Nothobranchius furzeri: one gene and its partner. The protein of the gene in region 1 interacts with the protein of each later gene in a pairwise test. Links are inferred from orthologs where the notes say so. Each region holds a gene or a part of one and is shown on either strand. Other genes may lie near its edges.

Region 1 (4,000 bases):
AACATTTTCACACAGAGATCAACACACAAGGCATTCAATCATAGAAGAGACCACAACAAATGTATTGAAAACAACTAAATGACAGCATTAACATTATTTTATAACTGCAGTTTTTAATAAAATATCTATTAAAAGGTCTTATTTTGAGCAGTACAAATAAAGGGATTTCCCCATAAATACATTTTTGGATTCTTTTAGTTTAATAATCAAATTTTTTACAGTTCATGAGGATGTTTTACTTGCTTTTGGTCCACATCTTGAAATGTTTGGACAACCCAGCTTTAAATGGTTAAAGACTTTGTCAAATATTTAATAATCAGCAATTGTTTTTTTTAATTTGCTATAACTTGACTTCTGCAGAAACAAAAACATTGTCACTTTGCTTTAAAGCTTGAAGTGATTCATGCGGTGAACTTTATGCTACGTTTATAACCATACGAGTTATCATAAATCCTGACTGAACATGATGCAACCAAATTTATTTGTGAGAACTTAGTGGTTCCTTTATTGTCAACTCTCATTTTGATCAGCGTTTGAACATATTTTATAGACGGTCTAAATAATTCCTCCTTACATAAACATACTCAAATGCTTATAAAACAGCTGTTTCCATTATCTGCTTGCTTTGGCAGGACTGTACATATTTCACAAGGAAAGAAATTCTCAGGTGAGGATCCAGATTTTTCCTGCTTCCACTGCTGAGAAGTACTAATGTGACAATCAGTTTTTGTGACTCTCAATGAAACAGAAGATACTTTTATTCAGGTCTGCACAAAACCAAACTGAAACCACAAGCTACACCATGAACGGACCGTGTCCCTGCTGTGGGTTCTAGGTTTCTGAAGCGTAACTTTCAGAGATGCATCTGACTTTCACTCTCATTGCAGAAAAGTTGCATAACTTTCCTTTATCAGGAGCTGCCCTTTCACAGTCTGCATTACATGAAGGATATTTTGTAATTCAACACTGAAAGTGACATTTGGAACCGTCCCCAGACTGTTCTACCGCTATCGGGATTTGGCTCCACAGCTCGTTCCTCTCGACTACACCAACCACCCAGATGTGAAGTTACCATACGAGCTGATCGGCAGCATGCCAGAGCTGAAGGTAGGCCCACACAAGCCCTGCAGACCCACTCACTCCTCTGTTCCCAATTCATAATTGATGACCAACTAATCGACAGAATTCTCTGGAAGGTTGTATGTTACCCGACTCCTTTAAACTTGAAGGATGCTGGTGGGTTGCCTGAGGGCACCCTTGTTAGAAATAACTCAATTATATGCCTCTTTACACAAAATATTGCAAAGGAAACACTCTATGGGGTGCCATTTGTAAAGACATATCTTAATATTTTTGGGTTATTTAGCCAATCATAAGAAAAAATAATGGGAGTTAATTTTTAAGTCATATTTTTACCATGTGATTCATTAATTTATAAACGTTAAATTTCCCAACTAATTTTTTATCCCCAAATTTTTTATTAATTTTCAACTTTAACGCATTTCACAAGAAAAAAAATGAAAATATGCATCACACAAATCTATAAAAGAGAAAAAAAGAAAAGGATAATAAAATACCAAAAAAAGAAAAAAGGAAGGGTGTCCAACATTAGAAAAACTACAATGAGAACTAAATATTTAGTTAGCAAGCTTAACATTTAATTTAGATGTAAATATTTCTTTTACTAACAAAATATTTTGGAGCTAAATATTCGTTCCAAAATAAATATACTTATTTAGAAATTTATTTTCCATACTAAATATTTAGATGCCAGCTAAATATTTTTTGTGGGGGCTAAACCAAAATTTTGATTTTGCAAACTAAATGTTTAGCTCCAAAATAAATATTTAGCTGCAGATCTAAAAATTAATTTTGGAAATTAAATATTTAATTTTGAGCTAGATATATATTTTGGAAATTAAATATTTAATTTCGAACTACATTTTTTTTTGGGAAATTAAATATTTAGTTAGTAACTTATTTGTTTTAAAAACTAAATATTTAGGTCTGACCTAAATAATTGGTTTCTAAAACTAATATTTAACTTTAAAATAAATGTTTAGCTTGCTAAATAAATATTTAGTTGAGAACTTTAACATTTATAAATGTATGAAAAACATGGTGAAAATATGACTTTAAAAAAATACTCCCTTTCTGATAGGCTAAATAACCAAAAATACTCATGTTAAATTATATCGACTTTACAAATGACACCCCATAACTGTGAAGTATTTAAATCATTATTTAGTTCAAGCTTAACATTTTAAAGCTACTTTTGGAACATAAATATCTAAATAATAATAATACCATAAAATAAAATTTGTTAACGTTTTAATATTTTAGCCGAAAATCGAAAGTTTGGTTGGTGTCTGTTCAGGATAACCCGTTTCGACAGAGGATTGCTGAGGTTTTTTCCGAGGACGGACAAGGAAACATGACTCTGAACGACTTCTTGGACATGTTTTCAGTCCTCAGTGAGATGGCGCCTAGAGACCTCAAAGCCTACTACGCTTTCAAGATTTATGGTAAAACGTCAGACTGCATAAAGATTTTTGTTTTTCATAGATTTTGGTTATATCAAGGAAAGAAAAAATGTATTATATTTAAGATAATCCAATATATAGTCATAGAAATAAAGCATCAAATTCATCCGTTCCATTATTTAATATAAAATGAAGGGTTTTAATTTCATGAATATTAAATTAGCAATATATTAAATGTGAAATTAATAAAAATTTAATTCAATTAAAAAATTAATACATTTAATTTTAAAATGTATATAAAGAGCTGATAATTTGGATTATATTCAACAAAATGTTTTTATTATCTTGAATGTTTAAATCAATCCGTGTTATTTTTCTACCGTTCCTCTTTATTTTTTTTAAATCAGATTTCAACGACGACGACTTTATCTGCAAGTCAGATCTGGAGAAGACCCTGAACAAGTTGACTCGTAACGAGCTGACAGAAGACGAGGTGAGGATGGTGTGTGAGAAGGTGATCGACGAGGCGGACCTGGACAACGACGGGCGTCTTTCACTGGAGGATTTCCAGCACATGATTGTCAGAGCTCCAGATTTCCTCAGGTATCGTAATAGTGATACATAAAATGACGTGTAAAAACATGCATTCATGTTAAATTTTTCTTGTCCACAGCACTTTCCACATACGGATTTAAGGAGTTCAAAGAGGTTGAATCCTATTCTTGTAATTGATGGACTGAAAATGGCATTTTTTTATTTTTGGGGATTTAGTCCAGAGATTTTAAACTGCAGAAATAAAAAATTGAGTCTATTAAAAAAAAGGAGACCAGCTAAATTGATTTATTATATCTGAAATAACAGCAGCTTCTTTTGCCATCCAGCCAATTAAAACACTGAAATAAATTACACAAATGAAGTTTTATTTCCATTTTTATTAATAAATCAGAAGTACACACCTACAGCTTGTAGATATTCTTTATATAGGTTTAAAAAGTAAACTTTAACCAATTTGTTTTCTTTTTCAAGTGATATTTACAATCCCCACTTTCTCACTCTCCCTTGAACGTCACGCTATGGAATTAAAAGATGGCTGTTAAAATAAATGTATGTTTACTGTAACATGTGATGAGAATCTTAAGAAAAAGATATGTTTAAAAAAGTCAAACAAGTTCATTCAAAACAAAATATAATCTGCTTATGTTTGTGTTAAAGTTGAGCCACACACACACACGCACGCACACGCACACAAACACACACACACAGTAACAAAGATCCACATATTCAACTACAAATTACACACAGGTCCAAAATTCACAATGCATAGCTCAGCTATGACAACTGGTGGTTAAGACAAATGGTCACGTTAAAGGTCCCAAACTGCTGCTGAAAGGTGCAGAACATCCTCTCCAAACCGTGGATAGAAAATTCTGGTTTTCAGACAAAAAAATGGAAAAGGAGCGAGACTACAGAGCACATTTTAGAAAATAAACTTGAGCTTTTGTTCTCAAACTTAAATT
Region 2 (4,090 bases), on another chromosome or scaffold:
GTTTTTGAATTGTAATCATTTCCAATTGTTCATTTGATTACTTATAATGGACTGAGAAGGTGCATACTTTCACACATAGCACCAACAAGAATGGTTTCCACCAATTGGTACGCTAAAAAGTGCAGAGGTGCTGATTTTTTTCTGAAACAGGTGGTAGGAGATTGTGGAGTTTAAACGAGAGGAAATCACATATAATTAACCTTTTTTTCCAGGAGCAACAGAGAGAAAGAACCCAGTGGAGACGTGTTAGCGATGCGTGGCTGGGTTATCTGGGGGATGGGGGGTACAACCTTCATTTCTGAGCTCTCAATCTCCTGAAAGTGAAGACTTCCCCCTCCACAACCCTTTAATATAGATATGTGCACAAACAATACCATTTTGTTAAACTCCTTGCCACAGAACACACACACACACACACACACACACACACACACACACACCGACTGTCTCACCAACTAAACATTATTAACATGATCCCTTCGGTGTGCTTCCCACTTAAGTGTGATGCTAGCGCTTTGCCTTTTGCCAGGCTGACAGCCGGGCTTAATTGGCTTTTGAAAGACACAAATGCCCTTATGTAACATTTTAAAGCCAGCCTTGGGCACGGCTTCAGTAAGAAGAAACGTTGAAAAAAATTAAATAAAAAAGACAGCTCTTCAAGCAAGAATGAGCACAAAGTCAGAGGTAGTGCAGGTGTACGTGTGTGTGTGTGTGTGTGTGTGAGTGCGTCTGATATGGTTTGGCAGGCTGAAAGATGTAGCGCATGTCAGTCTTTAATCAAAGCAGACAATAACACAGAAATAGTTTTTTATACTCAAACGTCTTTTATAATCAAAAATATTATTCAAGCATTTACAGTGTATTACAACAAATGATTCTATGCAACGGTTGACAGCCTTTACAGAATATGGAGAAATATATTCATTTTTGATATATGATACAAACCGGGAACAGCAAAAAGAGAAGGGGGGGAAAGGGTTTGCAGGATCCGAGTGCTCAGTCAGACCCTGATTTCCTCCCTGATTAGCCCTGCAGACCTGGTCCACGTCGTACAGAGCCACGCGTAGGCTCAGATAGCACGGCTCCTTTTGGGGCGACACTACGTAATGATCCAATGATGGTAGAATCCACTTTTCTGTGACTCCAGGGAGTCAACAAGTCTTAAAATATTTTTGGAGACACAGAGAAAAACGCAGAGATCAAGCTCCAGAGGACTCCATCGCTGCTGCTTGGCATCAACATCCCTGTTACCACAGCAACAGGGTTTTTAAAGTTTCTGCCACCTACACACAGTCCCTGAAGTGCTCAGACAACGTTCCCCCTTGATCCAAGATCAGTCTCCTCTGTATCCTTGTACAGTAAGGTACAGTCCTGAGTCTTTGATAGTTGAGCGTTTTTTTATGTGTACTTTATTTACTTTCACATTGCTACGGTGTTTCTGCTGCCTGTCGTCATGTCCCGATGGTGTCACCCAACAGTCCTAAGTACTCTTGATGCCCTGGAAACCGCAGAAGTTCCAGCGTTTCTCCAGACTTGCTCCAACACCGGTCAGCTCCTGTCGGAAGGTGCAGGGCAGCCGAGAGAGGAGTGCCTCCACCTCACTGGGATTGATCTGGAGAAACAGGAACACAAGCATGAGCAACACGGCCATACTGCACTATAAGTGATCTATATAAATAGCAATCACACATTTACAGCTGCTGTGTCCAATCCTGGTCCTCAAAAGCCACACACCTGTTCAGCATGTCCTCTAATCACCCACTGGTATAAACCACGTGTGTTGGGGGAGACAAACCTCTAAAACATGCAGGATGGTGTCCCCCACATGTCTGAGGATCAGGACTGGACACTACTGATTTGCAGGTGGAAGTCCTTCTACAGTCTGAGATCAGAGCAGATTTTTCAAGTTTCAATGACATTTTATTAAAATGACCACACTACTAATTGTAATTTTAGCTATTAGCTCCAATCCAGCTGTTCTTGTGTTCTTTTAAAAACAAAAGTAATAAAACCAAATCCAAGTGCGAAAGAGAAGTCCGTTCAAAACAAACACAAACCATATGGGCCATGCACGCACACGGCACCATTATCTGAACTCTCTAAAGAGAACAGCTGCAGCTTTTATAATTATGAGCAGTTTGCTGTGTTGTGTGCTGCAGACATGTTAGTTTGTTATGTTTGTTCTTCACTGACAGTTTTCAAATAACGTCTGGTATACATTCACCATTTTCCTTGAAAACATCTGATGAGAATTCCCACAACACACTATTTATTTCTATGACTCACACCTCATAATTAAACATCAATAGCTAACAGAAAACAAGCACAAATGTACCTCTCTTAAAGGTACCATATGTAAGAATAAAGTAAGATAGACATCCTGTGGTCAATTTTGGTTACTGCAGTCCCTTTTTATAAACAAATGGTCCCTTTCTCACTGCCGTTCTGTGAGTTACATGGCTGTTGCCAGTTACGGATCAGCACCAGATGATGCAAGATGACAAGCAAAGACGAGTCATACACAGCAAGTTGATAAGTAGATAAATACATGTCATGTCTTGTGCTAGCACTCTTGGTTGTTTTGGAAACACTCACTACAGTTATTACGGTAATATTTCTCCAGCATAAGTATCGGCCATCTTAGTGTTATAGCTCTGAACCACTAATTAAAGCAAGTAAAACGCCACGGTTGACTCATTATTTACCTCACACATACACTTCACTGTAATATCGAGTTGTTGGTAAAGTAGTTTGAGATATTTTTAGAGCTGACTATTTTTTTTCCACTTGTTAGCTCTACATTAGCCTCTAGCCTGAAAAAAAGTGCTCCCCCATGGATAAAAGTTTAACCCCCAGGGATCCCCCCCACCCCCAAATTGCACACTGGGTAAGACACCTATAAGGTTCTTCAGTTAAGAAAAGCAAGCTTTGGGTGAAGATTCTTGTGTTTCTTTTAGTAGTTTGCTAGCTACAAAGCTACATGTGCTACAAGTACTAGGACAAATTCCTAATTATTCACAAGTTGTGCCAGTAAAACTAAAATATCTCCAAAACTAAACCTCAGATCAGTCATATTTTGACATTTTTAAGCGAGAGGAGATTATACTGAAGAGTTTATATACAACATGTGCATGGTATGTAAAAGTTGGGTTGGGAGTAAAAACCGATATTTTCCGATATTACATTTTAATGCCAATATTGTCCGATAACATCGAACATCCTTAATTACCGGTTTATTCATGCTGCGTACCCCCATAATGATATAACTCATAACCGGTCTCATTTGGACTGCCTCAAACATCCAACATCATATCCTTGACTTGCTTATTGATCAATAACTGCTGTATTCCTCTCAGGCCTCTGAAGCAGAGCGTCAGTGTTTGAATCACGGAGGAGCTGAAGCTACGATCAAGTCTTTTCACTTGTTATCAGAACTGGAGAAGGTCATTCATGCTTTCATCTCCAGGTTTGATTACAGCGAGATGCTTTCTTCTTGTCTGAAAGGTAAATCTAAAGGACAGCTGGTGAAGAGCTGATGGAGAGAATCGACTACATCAGACTCTACTGGCTTCTGCGGAGCTGATTTTAAGAGTCTACTAATGAAGCTTGGTGAGCTCAGACTCCTGCTTTAATCTGAGATTTGATAACCTGCTATGAACACACAGGAGTCAGCTGTCAACAGGTAATCAGCGCTTCTCTAGAACAGCAGATGGTAGAAGTAAATATAAAATCCTGGGCAGGTGGTGATAATGAGTGTTTGTCAGCAGAATATTTCATGAACAACAGGGCCGATTTGGATCTAACTCAGAAAATAATCTTTGGATGTTCATCTACTGTCAGGATACGGTGTTGGTAGGACCCAAAATGCAGTACCCAGGATGACACGAGGCAGGAGATGATATATAAAGAAAATCCCTTTATTTGCAGGATGAGTCAAAAATAAAAATAAATCCAAAGGGCTGAAAGCCAAAAATCCAAAATGTCTAAAAATATAAACCAGAGATCAGAAATACTAGAAACTACGAGAAGAACCAAGAAACACTAGAGCTAGGAACGAGAGACTGACAGAATAACAACAATGGACCGACGA

Evidence for each region.
Region 2: the proteins of cib3 (region 1) and enox2 interact in binary tests that used the Homo sapiens proteins (3 or more experiments, as listed by UniProt). The two-hybrid records come from large-scale screens. The link is inferred for Nothobranchius furzeri from reciprocal best matches to the Homo sapiens genes CIB3 and ENOX2.

What each region holds. Positions count from the first base shown.
Region 1 is NC_091751.1:45,121,329-45,125,328, forward strand, and holds the end of cib3 (calcium and integrin-binding family member 3), read left to right. Parts: intron 1-632; coding exon 633-667; intron 668-995; coding exon 996-1,107; intron 1,108-2,377; coding exon 2,378-2,525; intron 2,526-2,890; coding exon 2,891-3,086; intron 3,087-3,156; coding exon 3,157-3,178; 3' UTR 3,179-3,333; downstream 3,334-4,000. UniProt on the Homo sapiens protein: Acts a an auxiliary subunit of the sensory mechanoelectrical transduction (MET) channel in hair cells. Plays a role in regulating hair cell MET channel localization and function.
Region 2 is NC_091741.1:82,228,521-82,232,610, reverse strand, and holds the end of enox2 (ecto-NOX disulfide-thiol exchanger 2), read right to left. Parts: intron 1,613-4,090; coding exon 1,481-1,612; 3' UTR 802-1,480; downstream 1-801. UniProt on the Homo sapiens protein: May be involved in cell growth. Probably acts as a terminal oxidase of plasma electron transport from cytosolic NAD(P)H via hydroquinones to acceptors at the cell surface.